2 linked regions of the Lepisosteus oculatus genome follow. The protein of the gene in region 1 interacts with the protein of each later gene in a pairwise test. Links are inferred from orthologs where the notes say so. Each region holds a gene or a part of one and is shown on either strand. Other genes may lie near its edges.

What was found. The genes of interacting proteins can lie anywhere in the genome.
Region 2: the proteins of trip6 (region 1) and rad23aa interact in binary tests that used the Homo sapiens proteins (3 or more experiments, as listed by UniProt). The two-hybrid records come from large-scale screens. The link is inferred for Lepisosteus oculatus from reciprocal best matches to the Homo sapiens genes TRIP6 and RAD23A.

The regions. Positions count from the first base shown.
Region 1 is NC_090698.1:9,104,570-9,112,469, reverse strand, and holds the start of trip6 (thyroid receptor-interacting protein 6), read left to right. Parts: upstream 1-4,804; 5' UTR 4,805-5,020; intron 5,021-5,894; exon of another isoform or gene 5,895-5,983; intron 5,984-6,303; exon of another isoform or gene 6,304-6,595; intron 6,596-6,615; exon of another isoform or gene 6,616-7,406; intron 7,407-7,420; exon of another isoform or gene 7,421-7,608; intron 7,609-7,639; exon of another isoform or gene 7,640-7,900. UniProt on the Homo sapiens protein: Relays signals from the cell surface to the nucleus to weaken adherens junction and promote actin cytoskeleton reorganization and cell invasiveness. Involved in lysophosphatidic acid-induced cell adhesion and migration.
Region 2 is NC_090706.1:16,876,612-16,884,147, forward strand, and holds the start of rad23aa (RAD23 homolog A, nucleotide excision repair protein a), read left to right. Parts: upstream 1-4,489; 5' UTR 4,490-4,678; coding exon 4,679-4,744; intron 4,745-7,536. Other genes in the region: rnf11a (RING finger protein 11a), read right to left, coding at 108-277, 3,411-3,509. UniProt on the Homo sapiens protein: Multiubiquitin chain receptor involved in modulation of proteasomal degradation. Binds to 'Lys-48'-linked polyubiquitin chains in a length-dependent manner and with a lower affinity to 'Lys-63'-linked polyubiquitin chains.

The DNA.
Region 1 (7,900 bases):
CTCAGTGTCAGGAGGCTTCAGAGCTTCCAGGGGGAAATCGGGAAAATCCTTCGGTCAATGTCCCACCACCCAGACTAACGCAGCTCCGTTCTCATAAAGTCGCAGAAAAGGCGTCAGACTGCGTTCAGCGAGGTCAAATCTCGCGTTCGTGTTTCTCCATCCTCTGCACCAGAGAGTATCACCCTGCAACTCCCAGCTGGCAGCCCCACTGGAGCTCAGCAGGAGTGAGCCTGGCCAGTACCTGGGTGGGAGACCTGCTGGGAAAGCTAAGGCTGCTGCTGGAAGAGGTGTTAGTGGGGCCAGTAGGGGGCGCTCACCCCGTGGTCTGTGTGGGTCCTAATAACCCTAGAATAGTCATGGGGACACTATACTGTAAAAAGCTGCTGTCCTTCAGATGAGATGTAAAACAGAGGTCCTGACTTGCTGTGGTCATTAAAAATCCCAGGGCTGGATCAATCTGTTCTTCTCCCCACTGAGAGCTGGTGTGGGGTGAGTGTACTGGTGCACTCTGGCTGCTGTTGCATCATCTGTACATTGGTAGTTGTGGAAGGGAGTCCCCAGTACCTGGAAACTGCTCTGAGTGGAATGTCCAGAAATGTGCTGTATAAGTGTAAGGAATTATTATTATTGCTTAGGTGGGGAGCTGCGTCAGCATGCGTAGGCTGCAAAGGAACAAGTAATAGGTTTATTCCATGCTGAAAAAAAGATGAAGAAAGAGAACACAACGTTTCGGCCGTGGAGCCTTCTTCAGGTTTGAGAGAGACAGGGCAGTAGGCAAAGGGAAAGCGTTTACACTTGTGTTCTCTTTCTTCTTCTTTATTTCAGCATGGAATAAACCTATTACTTGTTCCATTATTATTGCTTAGTCTTGCAGATTCAAATTTAGATGCTTTCTAAATTCTGGGAGTGATCTTGGTCACAGCTCATCTTGAAATTCTCTTAACTGAATGCAGCACCTGTTTAACTGGTCACGATGATGACGCTGCATGTCTTCAGAAGTGAGTGATTGAAAGTGGGCTAATAATCCTTGCAGGACTGGGACTGAGACACCTGCTCTGATTGATCTCACTTGTCCAATCACGCTCTGTCTGAGCACGGTATGCTGTCTTTATTGGGCTAAATCTGCAAAAGCAGCTAAAGATGAAAAGTTAGTTGTGGTCTTTGAGCCTTATAAGTTAGTTATTAGTCACTTCAGGGTGTCTCCCTCTGGGATAAATCTAGAGAGATTTTGAGCATTTCTAGTGCTTTTACAAATACTAATAATAATTCCTCACACTTATAAAGTACTCTTCTGGACACTCCACTCAAAGTGCTTTACAATTAATGGGGACTCCCCTCCACCACCATCAGTGTGTAGCCCCACCTGGATGATGCACCAGTACTCTCCCCACACACCAGCTCTCAGTGGGGAGGAGAGCAGAGTGATGAAGCCAGTTCAGAGAGGGGGATTATTAGGTGGCCGAGATTGGTAAAGAACAGGGGGAAATATGGCCAGGACACTGGGGTAACCCCAACTCTTTTCGAGAAACACCCTGGGATTTTTAATGACCACAGAGAGTCAGGACCTCGGTTTTATGTCACATCCGAAGGATGGCGCCTGTTTACAGTATAGTGTCCCCATCACTATACTGGGGCATTAGGACCTACATAGACCACAGGGTGCTGGCCCCACTAACACCTCTTCCAGCAGCAACCTCAGCTTTCCCAGGAAGTCTCCCATCCAGGTACTGGACAGGCTCACACCTGCTGAGCTCCAGTGGGGCTGCCAGTCGTGAGTTGCAGGGTGATGCAGCTGCTAGCTAAGGTTTTCTGGCACTTACATGGAATTGCACACATTAAAAATAGAGATCCAGCCTAGGAATGAAAGGCAAACATACTGTATGACCCACGCAGAAAAAAAACCTCTTACAGTAAACAGCATGTGCGCTATGTTTGCAGGAGAGCGTGTGGAATTACTTTTCAATTCTTTTATGGAAGGAGAAAAAGAAACAAACACAGCAGGTCTAGGCAGCTTCCAGGCATTGTGAGCACAGGAACCGGAGGAGGAGAGCGGGAGGGAGAGGGAGAGGGAGAAGGGAGAACGAGACAGGAAGAGTGAGAGGGTGGGAGTGCTGGGACCCGAACTAAAGGTGAAAGGTCATGGTGCCGGCTGGCCCTTTGCTGGGGAGAATCCCAGTTAGAGCTGGACAGTCCGGTCTATCGGACCCGAGGTCAATTTTGGGAAGTGTGTTCTTTTATAGCATCCATCATTTAAATGCCCGACCTGACCAAGGCCATGGACACGGAGCTCACGATCACAAACGACCAGGTCAAATGGTCTCCTCTGACACACCCACCAATCAGAGCTGTTTGCGCTGCGCCGCACTATGACCTAGAACTGGCACTCAGGTGACACCTTCCCGAGGCCAGTGTGAGCTCACAGGCCTATGTCCTGTACCCCTTTTCTCTACACTGTCCCGTGTGGACACAGTTGATAAGGAGGAGAAACCAGCTGTTTTTCTGATAGGGATAAATCTGGGGGGGGGGGGGGTTCTTTGACCGCATGTCTTTGGAAGATTGGAGCTCTATACCACCCCCCCCCAAACCTCCAACACAAATCTAGCAAGAACATGCAAGCTCCACACAGAAGGGTGGCCTGGGCACTTGTACCCAGAACCTTGCAGGTGTGAAAGGGTGCCGTTAACCATCCTGCCACTCTGTGACCTGACATTACAGCCATGCATGTGGAGGACACACAACATGCCACATATCCAGAGTCGAATCTTCTGACCCCTTTGCCCACCAGGGCTGACTGCGGACCACCACAGCCCGAGGCAGACCGCCTGAGCCCAGCGTAGGTCTCTTCCAGGATTTCAGCTACAACCGGAGCAAAGCACTCGGATAAACAAACCAAATAAGCAGAATTTCCCTTTACACGGCTTCCTGATCTGGATTTTGTACTTATAAGGCGAGACGGGGAAGCGATTCCACAAGGGAGAAAGGGGAAAGGGGAGGAGGAGAGGACGGAGATCTACTTTTGTTTCGGAAAAATGGAAAAAAAAAACAAAAACAAAACATTCGCAAAAAAACACGAACGCGACTCTTCCTTGGCAACGGCATCCGTCCTCTGCATGAAAGACAGGAAAGTCATCTCCTCCTGAGTCACTTCCTCAGCAGGTGGCACAGGGAGAGAGCGCTGGCCAGCAGGGCTGGAGAGGCGCAGAGGCGGAGACTGGGAAGGAAAGGAGGGAGAGCAGGTCTGCAGAGCAGGGCTGAAGCTGGACTGGGAGTGAGGCACTGGGGGTCAGAGCTGAGGGACTGGGAGTGAGGCACTGGGGGTCAGAGCTGAGGGACTGGGAGTGAGGCACTGGGGGTCAGAGCTGAGGGACTGGGAGTGAGGCACTGGGGGTCAGAGCTGAGGGACTGGGAGTGAGGCACCGGGGGTCAGAGCTGAGGGACTGGGAGTGAGGCACTGGGGGTCAGAGCTGAGGGACTGGGAGTGAGGCACTGGGGGTCAGAGCTGAGGGACTGGGAGTGTGCCAGGCTGCATTGTGTTCAGTGTCGCAGTGTCAGAGTGCTGGGCTGCAGTGTGTTCAGTGTATCAGTGCCGGGCTGCAGTGTGTTCAGTGTAACAGTGTCAGAATGCCGAGCTGCAGTGTGTTTGTCTCAGTGCTGGGCTGCAATGTGTTCAGTGTCTCAGTGCCGGGCTGCAATGTGTTCAGTGTCGCAGTGTCCGAGTGCCAGGCTGCAGTGTATTCAGTGTCTCAGTCTCAGAGTGCCGGGCTGCAGTGTGTTCAGTGTAACAGTATCAGAGTGCTGGGCTGAAGTGTGTTCAGTGTCTCAGTGCTGGGCTGCAATGTGTTCAGTGTCACAGTGTCAGAGTGCCAGGCTGCAGTGTGTTCAGTGTCTCAGTGCGAGAGTGCCAGGCTGCAGTGTGTTCAGTGTCTCAGTGTCAGGGTGCCGGGCTGCAGTGTATTCAGTGTCACAGTATGAGAGTGCCGGGCTGCAGTGTGTTCAGTGTCAGAGTGCCAGGCTTCAGTGTGTTCAGTGTCTCGGTGCCGGGCTGCAGTGTGTTCAGTGTCTCAGTGCTGGGCTGCAATGTGTTCAGTGTCTCAGTGCTGGGCTGCAATGTGTTCAGTGTCGCAGTGTCCGAGTGCCAGGCTGCAGTGTGTTCAGTGTCTCAGTGCGAGAGTGCCAGGCTGCAGTGTGTTCAGTGTCTCAGTGTCAGAGTGCCGGGCTGCAGTGTGTTCAGTGTCTCAGTGTCAGAGTGCCGGGCTGCAGTGTATTCAGTGTCACAGTATGAGAGTGCCGGGCTGCAGTGTGTTCAGTGTCAGAGTGCCAGGCTTCAGTGTGTTCAGTGTCTCGGTGTCAGAGTGCCGTGCCGCAGTGTGTTCAGTGTCTCAGTGTGAGAGTGCCACGCCGCAGTGTATTCAGTGTCAGAGTGCCAGGCTGCAGTGTGTTCAGTATCTCAGTGACAGAGTGCCAGGCTGCAGTGTGTTCAGTATCACAGTGCCGGGCTGCAGTGTGTTCAGTGTCACAGTGTGAGAGTGCCGCGCCACAGTGTGTTCAGTGTCACAGTGTGAGAGTGCCGGGCTGCAGTGTGTTCAGTGTTAGGGTGCCAGGCTACAGTGTGTTCAGTGGCACAGTGTGAGAGCGCCGGGCTGCAATGTGTTCAGTAGTTCAGTGGTTAATTCAGTTTTAAAGATTCAGCAGCTGCTGCATATTTTGCGACTGCTGGACTGCAGTGTGGGAGTAAACTCCAAGACGAGTGGGGGGGGGGGGAAGACCAATTACACCGAGCCGTGGCGAAGTTACACTGCCAAAAATAAAGATTTTGTTTTTGTAACACGGCTTGTCAGTTCAGTGGCGTCGTTTCCAGTAGCTCCGTGGTTTTTTCAGTGCGCGATCGGCAGTCTGCGGTACAAAAGATACAAGCGCCTCCTCACACTCTCCGCTACAATCTCACAAGGAGGCCGGGCGCTCCGGCGCGCTTGGCGGTCTTCCAGATCGGAGAGACGCGGCTGTGCAAAGAGTATCTGAGGTCAGTGCGCTTTCGCAATGTCGTCTGATTGCTGTAAATACCGTGAGCAACGCGAGCAGAGAGGGACCGAGACAGGGATAAAGTCGCACAGACGATTAGCTCGGAGCAACCTTACGGTCTCGACTCAAGGCAGGTAAACGGGAACGATTTGTGAAAAAGATATAGGACTAAGTAAACACAGACTCCTAGCTCATCTTAGAAGCCCGGACATAAGAAATAAAAAAAGAATAAAACGTTTCGTATGTCAATGCCCTCGGAAAGGTGTAAACAAGTCTATGTTTATGTACAGGGCCACCCTTTCTGTTGAAAAACGCATCAAAGCCCAGTAATCTAAATATATAAATCACCCAGGCAGACATGCACCTGACTCTACTGTATTCCTCTTGCAAAGACCACATCTTGCATGGACGTCCAAAAGCGTCACTGAAAACGTAACAAGCGTTTCGCAAAAAAATTACACAACGTCAGAATGACAAAAATGACAAAAGAAATTAAAAATAAGTTCTGTGTATTTCTCAGCGGCAGCCAGAATATTTTAGGTAAAAACAATTAATGAAGGACACCCGCCTTCTCACATTTAACCACTCGAGATTAGCAACAGAAACAAGTCTGGTAACAAACTTGAGAGTTGTGACGTTTTCTAAACCGCCGGATTCCCCACAAACACACAGCAGCATCATTAACAAAAAAAGTAAGAGACATTCAAATAAACTTCGAAAAACTGATTTCAATTCTGTCCTCTCCAATAGTTGGAACTGTAACAAAAAAAATGCTCCCCAGTTCAGCTCGTTGCGTTCTCCCAAGATGTGTTTTTCAAGGACTACAGCAAAGCGACAGGGCATGTTATATAGACAGAGACGGAGTGATACATCACCTGGTTAAACAGCGTGGCCTAAATTCCTAGAACCAGCTGCCTCGCCGGCTTTTGAGGAAATAATATTCCAAGAAACAGCAAGAGCTCAATTCTGAGAACCCAAGTAGCGGCGCGTCACACTCTCGCCAGCCGTAGGGGTGCCCCTACTTTCTTGTCACGGCAGATCAGCGTTAAAGTGTTTCTGTTTTTCATTTTCACCCAAAGTTTGTAATAATAGCTGAATTGAAAGCGACTCACGCCTATCGGCAAAAGACAAGTATATTTCGGGGAAAGTTTCTTAATCCCCTTCACCCTTAAGCACCCCTCTCTTCACTTTGTGTAGTACAACCTGCTTAAAATGAATGTCACATGTCCCTCCCCGGGTAAACACGCTGATCTCAGCGCAATTTCTCAGAAGCGTGTTGGCAGAGGTTGATGTAATTTTAAACTCTCAGTGCTTTTATTCGGGGGTCGGCTGGCGTTTCTCGTACAGTTCGGGGGTCTTTCGGGGAAATTTTGGATCTTGGTACTACGGAACTTGGGTGTCAGTGTATTTTTAGTGAAGCGTGGGTTGTGTGGTGGTTTGTGTGTGTGTGCGCTCGCCGTGGGGAAGGTGAAAGTAAGCAGATAGATTTCTCTTCTTGTTCTCGTAATGACTAGTCAACCGGCGTGTGCGGCTTCCAGCAATATCATCGAAATTTAATTTCACCTGGATTCACCTGGTTGGTATCCACACATGATATCCAAAAGACGCCTTTTTCCCCCATAAGAAGAAGTAAACAGATTTTAAGCAAAACCCTTGGTTTTTAGTACTATAAATTAGAAACAAACTCCTGACAGTGCTAATTCACAATCGTGAAGGATCAAGGGATTTAGAAGAACAAGGGTTCTCTTGCAAAACGTTTAGAAATACTGAGCCATATTGCAGTTGACGGAACTGTCAATGGCGCATTTTCAAAGCTGTAATATTCAAGTTCTGTAACAGGTGCTAATTCATCCACCTTTTCTGTAAAACACACACACAGTTAATTTGGGGTTCAGCGGTTCGATCTTGTGAGGTTCAGACCTATTTTAATGAGGTGATATTGCAGATGGTTTCGCGTTTATTTCATGGTGACAATGGAGTAAACGAGTCGTCAGCGGCTGGGTTACTGGTGCTCCCAGGACTGTTTATATCAGAGAATATACGTAGATCACAATCTGTCTTTGAAAATACATGTTAACTATACTTGCGATAAAGTACAACAGCAAATTTACTTGCTCCACAGTTTGCAATTTGTTATTGTACCAGTTGTCAGATTTTGTGTGAACAGAGTGTGTCGAATAATCGTCTGGTATAACAGTCGGTCTGTGCAACAAAAGGCGGAGATGTCCAGACTTGGCAGGACGTGCTCTCAGTCAGCAGGGCGGCCCCGAGAGCAGAGCTCTGGAGCTGCTTACACCCGGGGTGCACAGGGACCGGCTGCTGGGGTCTCCTCTGACCCCTCGCTTGTTCTGCATGAAGAGTCCCGCCTCCCCCACGGCGGGCCTAACGTAATGAGCCATGCCTTTTCCCCAGATTCAGAGGACTCGATCAATAACGGAGCGTTGGTCTTTGGGCGAGTGCGATGAGTGGTGTGTGCTCAGTGAGGAGGGAGTGTGCAGTTATCGAGGCTCAGGGTGATCGTGGGCCAGGAAGCTGACAGGTTCTCGTAAGCTTTGCAAAATCCGGTGGGAAGGACGTGTAATGACTGATGTATGGGTTGACGTCTTTTATGTCATGTTATATTGATTTTTCGTGTAGTGTTTGTATGTTTTTTTGTAAGCCTCTCTGTTTGTAAAACATCCCATGCCTTCAAAACAATTTTCTGATAAATCGGGCAATAAAGTATAATCGTATATAGCTATTCAGTTCGGTTTAACACCCTATATGGCTTCGGTTATATCCTTCATGATGCTACAAAAAAAAAAAACTTAAGCCTGTTTATGAATTTCTTTCTTCTATGTAAAGCTCATTTTTGGCGCACGGGGCAGCTACACCCTCGGCC
Region 2 (7,536 bases), on another chromosome or scaffold:
ACTAACTAAGAGCTCAGCCCCACTCCCCAGGATCAGAACTGGGAAGCCCCCTTCTATTTTAAGTTTATTGTCAAGGGTACAAGCACCAGGCAAAGGGGGCGACTCACTCCTTGACTTTCTTGTCAGAGGGCTCGGACCCGGGGTCGAATATGCCCTTAGGCAGGTGCTGGATGAGGCCAATCCTCTGGGCGATGCGAATCTGCTCCTCCTCGGTCAGCTGGGTGGCCAGGCGGGTCTGGCTGGGCGTGGGGTGGTACACTGGCACCTGAGCGTGCTCCTGGGCACATGAACACAGCACAGTTAGTCCAGCATACAGGAGAGCAGGCACACAGGGCACAGTCAGAGCCCAGCCTACAGGAGAGCAGGCACAGGGCACAGTCAGAGCCCAGCCTACAGGAGAGCAGGCACAGGGCACAGTCAGAGTCCAGCGTACAGGAGAGCAGGCACAGGGCACAGTCAGAGTCCAGCGTACAGGAGAGCAGGCACAGGGCACAGTCAGAGCCCAGCCTACAGGAGAGCAGGCACACGGGGCACAGTCAGAGCCCAGCCTACAGGAGAGCAGGCACAGGGCACAGTCAGAGCCCAGCCTACAGGAGAGCAGGCACAGGGCACAGTCAGAGCCCAGCGTACAGGAGAGCAGGCACAGGGCACAGTCAGAGCCCAGCGTACAGGAGAGCAGGCACAGGGCACAGTCAGAGCCCAGCCTACAGGAGAGCAGGCACAGGGCACAGTCAGAGCCCAGCGTACAGGAGAGCAGGCACAGGGCACAGTCAGAGCCCAGCGTACAGGAGAGCAGGCACAGGGCACAGTCAGAGCCCAGCCTACAGGAGAGCAGGCACAGGGCACAGTCAGAGCCCAGCCTACAGGAGAGCAGGCACACAGGGCAGTCAGAGCCCAGCCTACAGGAGAGCAGGCACAGCGCACAGTCAGAGCCGAGCGTACAGGAGAGCAGGCACAGGGCACAGTCAGAGCCCAGCATACAGGAGAGCAGGCACAGGGCACAGTCAGAGCCCAGCCTACAGGAGAGCAGGCACAGGGCACAGTCAGAGCCCAGCCTACAGGAGAGCAGGCACAGGGCACAGTCAGAGCCCAGCCTACAGGAGAGCAGGCACAGGGCACAGTCAGAGCCCAGCCTACAGGAGAGCAGGCACAGGGCACAGTCAGAGCCGAGCGTACAGGAGAGCAGGCACAGGGCACAGTCAGAGCCCAGTGTACAGGAGAGCAGGCACACGGGGCACAGTCAGAGCCCAGCCTACAGGAGAGCAGGCACAGGGCACAGTCAGAGCCAAGCGTACAGGAGAGCAGGCACACAGGGCACAGTCAGAGCCCAGCGTACAGGAGAGCAGGCACACGGGGCACAGTCAGAGCCCAGCGTACAGGAGAGCAGGCACAGGGCACAGTCAGAGCCCAGCCTACAGGAGAGCAGGCACAGGGCACAGTCAGAGCCCAGCGTACAGGAGAGCAGGCACAGGGCACAGTCAGAGTCCAGCCTACAGGAGAGCAGGCACACAGGGCACAGTCAGAGCCCAGCCTACAGGAGAGCAGGCACAGGGCACAGTCAGAGCCCAGCCTACAGGAGAGCAGGCACAGGGCACAGTCAGAGCCCAGCGTACAGGAGAGCAGGCACAGGGCACAGTCAGAGCCCAGCGTACAGGAGAGCAGGCACAGGGCACAGTCAGAGCCCAGCGTACAGGAGAGCAGGCACACGGGGCACAGTCAGAGCCCAGCGTACAGGAGAGCAGGCACAGGGCACAGTCAGAGCCCAGCCTACAGGAGAGCAGGCACAGGGCACAGTCAGAGCCCAGCGTACAGGAGAGCAGGCACACAGGGCAGTCAGAGCCCAGCCTACAGGAGAGCAGGCACAGGGCACAGTCAGAGCCCAGCGTACAGGAGAGCAGGCACAGGGCACAGTCAGAGCCCAGCCTACAGGAGAGCAGGCACAGGGCACAGTCAGAGCCCAGCCTACAGGAGAGCAGGCACACAGGTGCACACACACACACGCGATAAAACAAACAGCTGCACAGGGTTATTTTTAGCCCTTACAATATCATATGTGTTATTCAACACATGAAAATAGAGGAAACGTCTTTCCCCCCCAGGTACTGTGCTTCAAGCCTGAATATCTTTAGAGAGAGGGTTCCCAGCTCTCTTACACCTGCAGTCCTACAGGTTATCTTGACCTTCTCAACGTCCAAAGAAGTCTAACTGGAACCATTTCATTCTTCTCTTTCTGTGCTACAATGCAGACAATGTTTAATGAAACAATGTTTGCTTGGCAGTGTGGGAATTTAATCAATAATGACAGATAGGAGCACAAGCATGTTGGACCACTAAAGTCTAGTCTACCAACTGGACTGTAAATATCCTCAGTGTTTTGGAAGAAACGTTTTTCAACTAAATTCTGCATCTAGCAGTAGGTGTGTTTCAAGGAATCTTCTGAAGAAAACTGCTCCAGATATTTAGACAGTACATCCAACAGTGAAAAGCACAAACCGTGAAGATATGAACTTTAATTTGGAGTGTTTCAACATGTCAACTTCAAGAAATACAAACAGAAAAAGGCTTAAAGCAAACCATACAAATTAGAGGAGACCTGAATTTTTTCAATCAAATCCCATTATAAGCCCCGTCTCAGCCCAACAGGACGGAAAGGGTAACCCTGCTATGTCTATCAGCTGGTCTGATCAAAAGGAACTAAGAGTTTGAATCAATAGATTCTATTCCCTGGAGTGTTGGTATGGACCTTCTCCTCAGATCTACATCACAATAAGCATAAAGAGTTGTTTTTATCACGCTTGGCTGCACTGACAATTTAATTTTATTTTTTAAAAGGGGGTAGCAACACCAAGGCGATAAAACGTTCTTAGTCTTGAAAGCGTTGCAGACGTACTCGGTATGCTATTGAAGTCAGACATTTCATTTTAATTTACTTTGTAAATTAAATTAAACCCCTGTAATCAACATGCAACGGCCTCTTAAAGTGTAATAAACTGTCGCAGTGTCTGCCACACAACAGACAAAGCAACGCGGGTTTTTTGTGCAGTAAATGTGTAGCACTCTTAATTCTCTCGGGATTCACGTCTCAAAAAGAGAAGAGAGGTTCTCATGAGAATCGTCTCAAAAGCACGTTTCACGGAAAACTAACAGAAAGGAAAAAAAGCCACATTCCCTGGAGCAGAAATAATTGTGTACCAGTTTTCTCGTCTTAACTACACTTCTGAACTACCTAAATAAATACTCGTTAATTCCCTCGCCTTCGGAGTTCCAGCATTTTAAAAATGTATAAATTATACAGGCGTTCGTTTTTGTTTGGGCTTTTCCAGACGCCAGCCTGAAGAGCTCTGTTCGACCACTCGTCCTCTCCCAGCGAATCCCCGGTCTGTATTTCACTCGTTCCCCCTTTACTGCACCTGATAGGGCGGCGGTGGCTCTCCGGGCAAGCTGGCCCCCTCCGACTCGTTCAGCAACGACAAGTCGTCCGCACCCTGCGAGGAGAGGCAGTTCCCCATCGAAGTGGACTCGGGTGCACTGGCCGAGAGAGTTGCAGAGGGGCGGCTAAACGAGACCCGTCTTCCCCCGACACCCGAAATATGGGCAAGGAAAGCTAACCCGCTGCTAAATCACGCCTATCCATGAACAGTTTTCTGGCTTTCTTTCTTGTGCTTGCAACCGAATCTCTCCTAGCCAAAAATAAACCCAAAAAATCGCCGGTATTTATATATCAGTTACATATCCGATTCACTTTAAGTTAGTATTATAGGATCAGTCCACCCCATCTCCCCTTTGCTCTGTTTACAAACTGCAAAGGCCGGAAATGACGTTTAGGTGCTTTGTGGGAGTTGTAGTTCTGAACAAGCACACAAAAATAAATTTTAGGGGAATTAGTACTTGACTGATATTACTAGAAGTCATTACTGTGTTCTGCCATTGTCTGTTCGCTATATTATTGTTGCATTTGACGGACTTCTATAGCTAGGGGGACGCAGAGTAACAAAATATATACAAAAATATCATAACACTAATTCGATCTTGTCAGATCTCAGAAGATACGCAAGCTTGGGTCAGGTCGGTAGTACTGCGATGGGAGACCTCCAGAGAAAAACAACCTGAAAAATAGAAAGTTCCAGTCTGGCACGATTCCCTTCCCTGAATACATAAAATACGGGATGCGTGTCTTTTAGTTTTATGTATTTATTCAACACAAGGATTATTTATCACCGCAAGCAGGTACCAAAATCAGGCTGAGCAGAGCCTTTTGTCTCCGATAGACCTTACTGTCGTCACTGGACACTACGGCAATTGGTACATCGTTGTCTATAGTGCCATTTATGGTATGTTAAGTTTAGTTCACGGAATCAGACTTCTGACCACGCAGTTATACGAAAATGACACCTAACTTTACAAGAACCACGTGTTTAATAGCGTTCTATTACCCTCAACTCGAGTGATACCCACGTCACGTGACAGAGATGACGCCGGACCGTCTGCCCACCGCGTTCGCTTCATGACGTCATCACTAAGATGGCGGCAGTGAGTTGATGGCTCGTGTGTGCTGTTTTTTTCGCCAACCTCATCTACCAGCGTGCGAGTTATTTCAGATCCAAATTGACAGGCTGTGTTTCAAATATATAGTTTTTTTAGAGAAGTTTTGGACTGACAGATCGGAAACAGAAGAAAGATGCAAATCACTCTGAAGACGCTGCAACAGCAAACTATTCAAATTGACATAGACGCAGAGCAAACGGTAAGCGGCTGTAGGTTGTTGAATGACAGCATGACTGAGGCATTAATATTACCTGTTAAGCCGTACTAATGCCTCAGTCCATACAAACCCAAACACGATTTGATGAAACTGAAGTGTAACGTTAGATATTTTTAAAACAGTGATGGTTGGTGATGGTTTTCTTGGCGGATTTAGACTTAAGTCGAATTTGTCATTTTCAAAGTTGACAGTTTCGTTTCGCCGAGCGATCGCATATGCTTTAACAAGTTTCTTGAAAAAAACCCATTGGACACCCCGAGCTAAAGGGATATCCTCAGCTAGAGTTGGCCCTCTCGGTTTGTCGGAAGATTTGTACATGTTCGTTTTCTTGTCCGAGTCTTCTTTAAAGAATAATGTTACTACACGTAAGACACCGCATACGTTGACACATAATTCCCAGTAAAAGCGTTCCACTGAGTTGTTCCAATGAGTAATTCGGTGTGTTTCATTACAGGAACCGCGTATACAATTATGAAATAATTCTGCGGAATTAAAGTGTCGTTTCGGTACTTTAGTTATGATGCTTCGTGCGTGAACAGCAGAAGTCATACGCCACGTGACTCTGTACAGCGGTTTCTTCATCACATGAAAGGCGGTTCCTTAAAAACGATAAGAAACGATTGTTATGGTAACAGACAGACAGAAACGCAGTTTAGGCCGTTGTTGAGTGACTGTTACTAACATAGATATGGGTGACATTGCATGTGTAAAGGAGTTTAGAAAAGAGACCGAAAAGGCATGTTTTAATGCTCATCATTCGCAAACATGACATCATATTGAAGACTTAATATTTTTTAAAACTCCCTCGTCTGAGACCCATCTGCTTTTCCCAGTTAAAAAAAAACATTAGTGTACACAATATACACACACTACTGTACGATTTTAAAAATACATTTAATTCTTTGTGTTTTATAAAAGGTAACCTCTTTTGGGAAGTGAACACATTTAATAAAAAAAAAACATTTTTGTACAGCTCAGCAAACATCGTTTCAGAATAAGAGGCTCCCAAGCAAAATCACAACATCACATGGCCACACTTAGGAGCGTGGAAGAGATGACAGGCCTGATGTTGTGCTGGTTAACAGGCCTTGTGAGGCATCAGGCAAGACAGAGTTGTGCCTGTACAGCTCCCCTGTTTCTAAAGACCAGGAGAAATGCTGGCTGAGGAGCTTCCAAAGGGCAGGGAGGGATGAATGGTGTTTTCTCGTTGCTAACTGTACTCAGGTTCTTAGAAATTTCAGAAAAAAGAAAAGACCCTTTAGCCAGCCCTGTTCGCTTGGCAGCTACTTGCGAATGGAGTAAAGTAAATGTCAGGCAGGCAGGTTTTGAAAGCTGTGCTGGAAACCGCTTCAGACACCCGCCACTCTCCTGGCTCCTGAAGGAGCCCTTCCTGTTCTTGTTAGTATAGCCTCCATTTTGTGTTGTCCTTGATCTGGAATCACCAATCGTGTGTGGCTTTTCTCATCTCGGCTCTCAGCTACAAACCCCCCCACCGCACACAGGGGAGGATGTGGAAATGTAGGCAGACTCCTCCACCCTGCCCGCATTGGAGACACCCGTCTTGTAACACGTCAAGGGCCGTGAATCCCTGTGCATGAGGAGAGGCATGTCCCTCACCTACAGCACAATGAGCCAACGGCATCCTGGCCAGCTAATCCGACCCTACCCTTGACATCCCCTTGTGTGCCGTCGCACGGGGAGTCCCAGCCACAGTATTTACTCACGACTGCACAGCAAGACACAGCAATAACCGCATCATTAAGTTTGCCGATGACACCACTATAATAGGACTGATCAGTGATGATGACGAGTCCACTTACAGGGATGAAGTTGTACAGCTGCTGAGGTGGTGTCATAGCAATAACCTGGACTTGAACATAAAGAAAACGAAAGAGCTAATAGTGGACTTTCGGAGACACAGGCCACACACTCACAGCCCACTCAGTATTGATGGAACGGAAGTGGAAACAGTCACCAGCTTTAGGTTTTTGGGAATTCACATCTCTAAAGATCTAACCTGGACTGTGAACACTGACTCTATCATGAAGAAGGCTCAGCAGCGCCTTTATTTCTTGAGGTGCCTCAAGCGATGGGGGATGCCAACACATGTGTTGGTGAACTTCTACCGCTGCACTATCGAGAGCGTCCTCACCAACGGGATCACCGTGTGGTATGGCAACACCTCTTCGCGAGAAAGAAAGGCACTGCAGAGAATGGTCAATATGGCCCAGAAGATCATCGGCTGCGGTCTCACCGAGATTAAACAGCTCTATGAGGACCGCTGCCGTGGTAGAATTCTGGCCATCACAGAGGACAGTCACCACCCCGGGCATGAGCTCTTCACCCCACTGCCCTCAGGCAAGAGATATAAGAGCATACGGACACTTACCACTAGATTCTTCAATAGCTTCTATCCACAAGCAGTGAGACTGGCGAACACATTTAGCCATCCCCCTCGGACCACACCTACACCATCACCATCTACCTCATTGTAATTTATTAATTGTACGTCTCCAGTCATTGTTTACACGTCTGTATTGTTTACAGTCAAACTGTCTGCATGTTTACTTGCACATTGTCTATTGTTTGTTTGTACATTGTCTTGATGCACTGTTTGCACTTTGTTTTGTTTTTTACACTTGTTTTATAATCGAGAGACTTTCTGTAAGTAAGAATTCCATTGTACCAGTACCGGTTACATATGGCAATAAAGTTCAAGTTCAAGTTCAAGTTCAAGTTCAGTAACATGACCCAGGCTCGAACCCGTGATCATG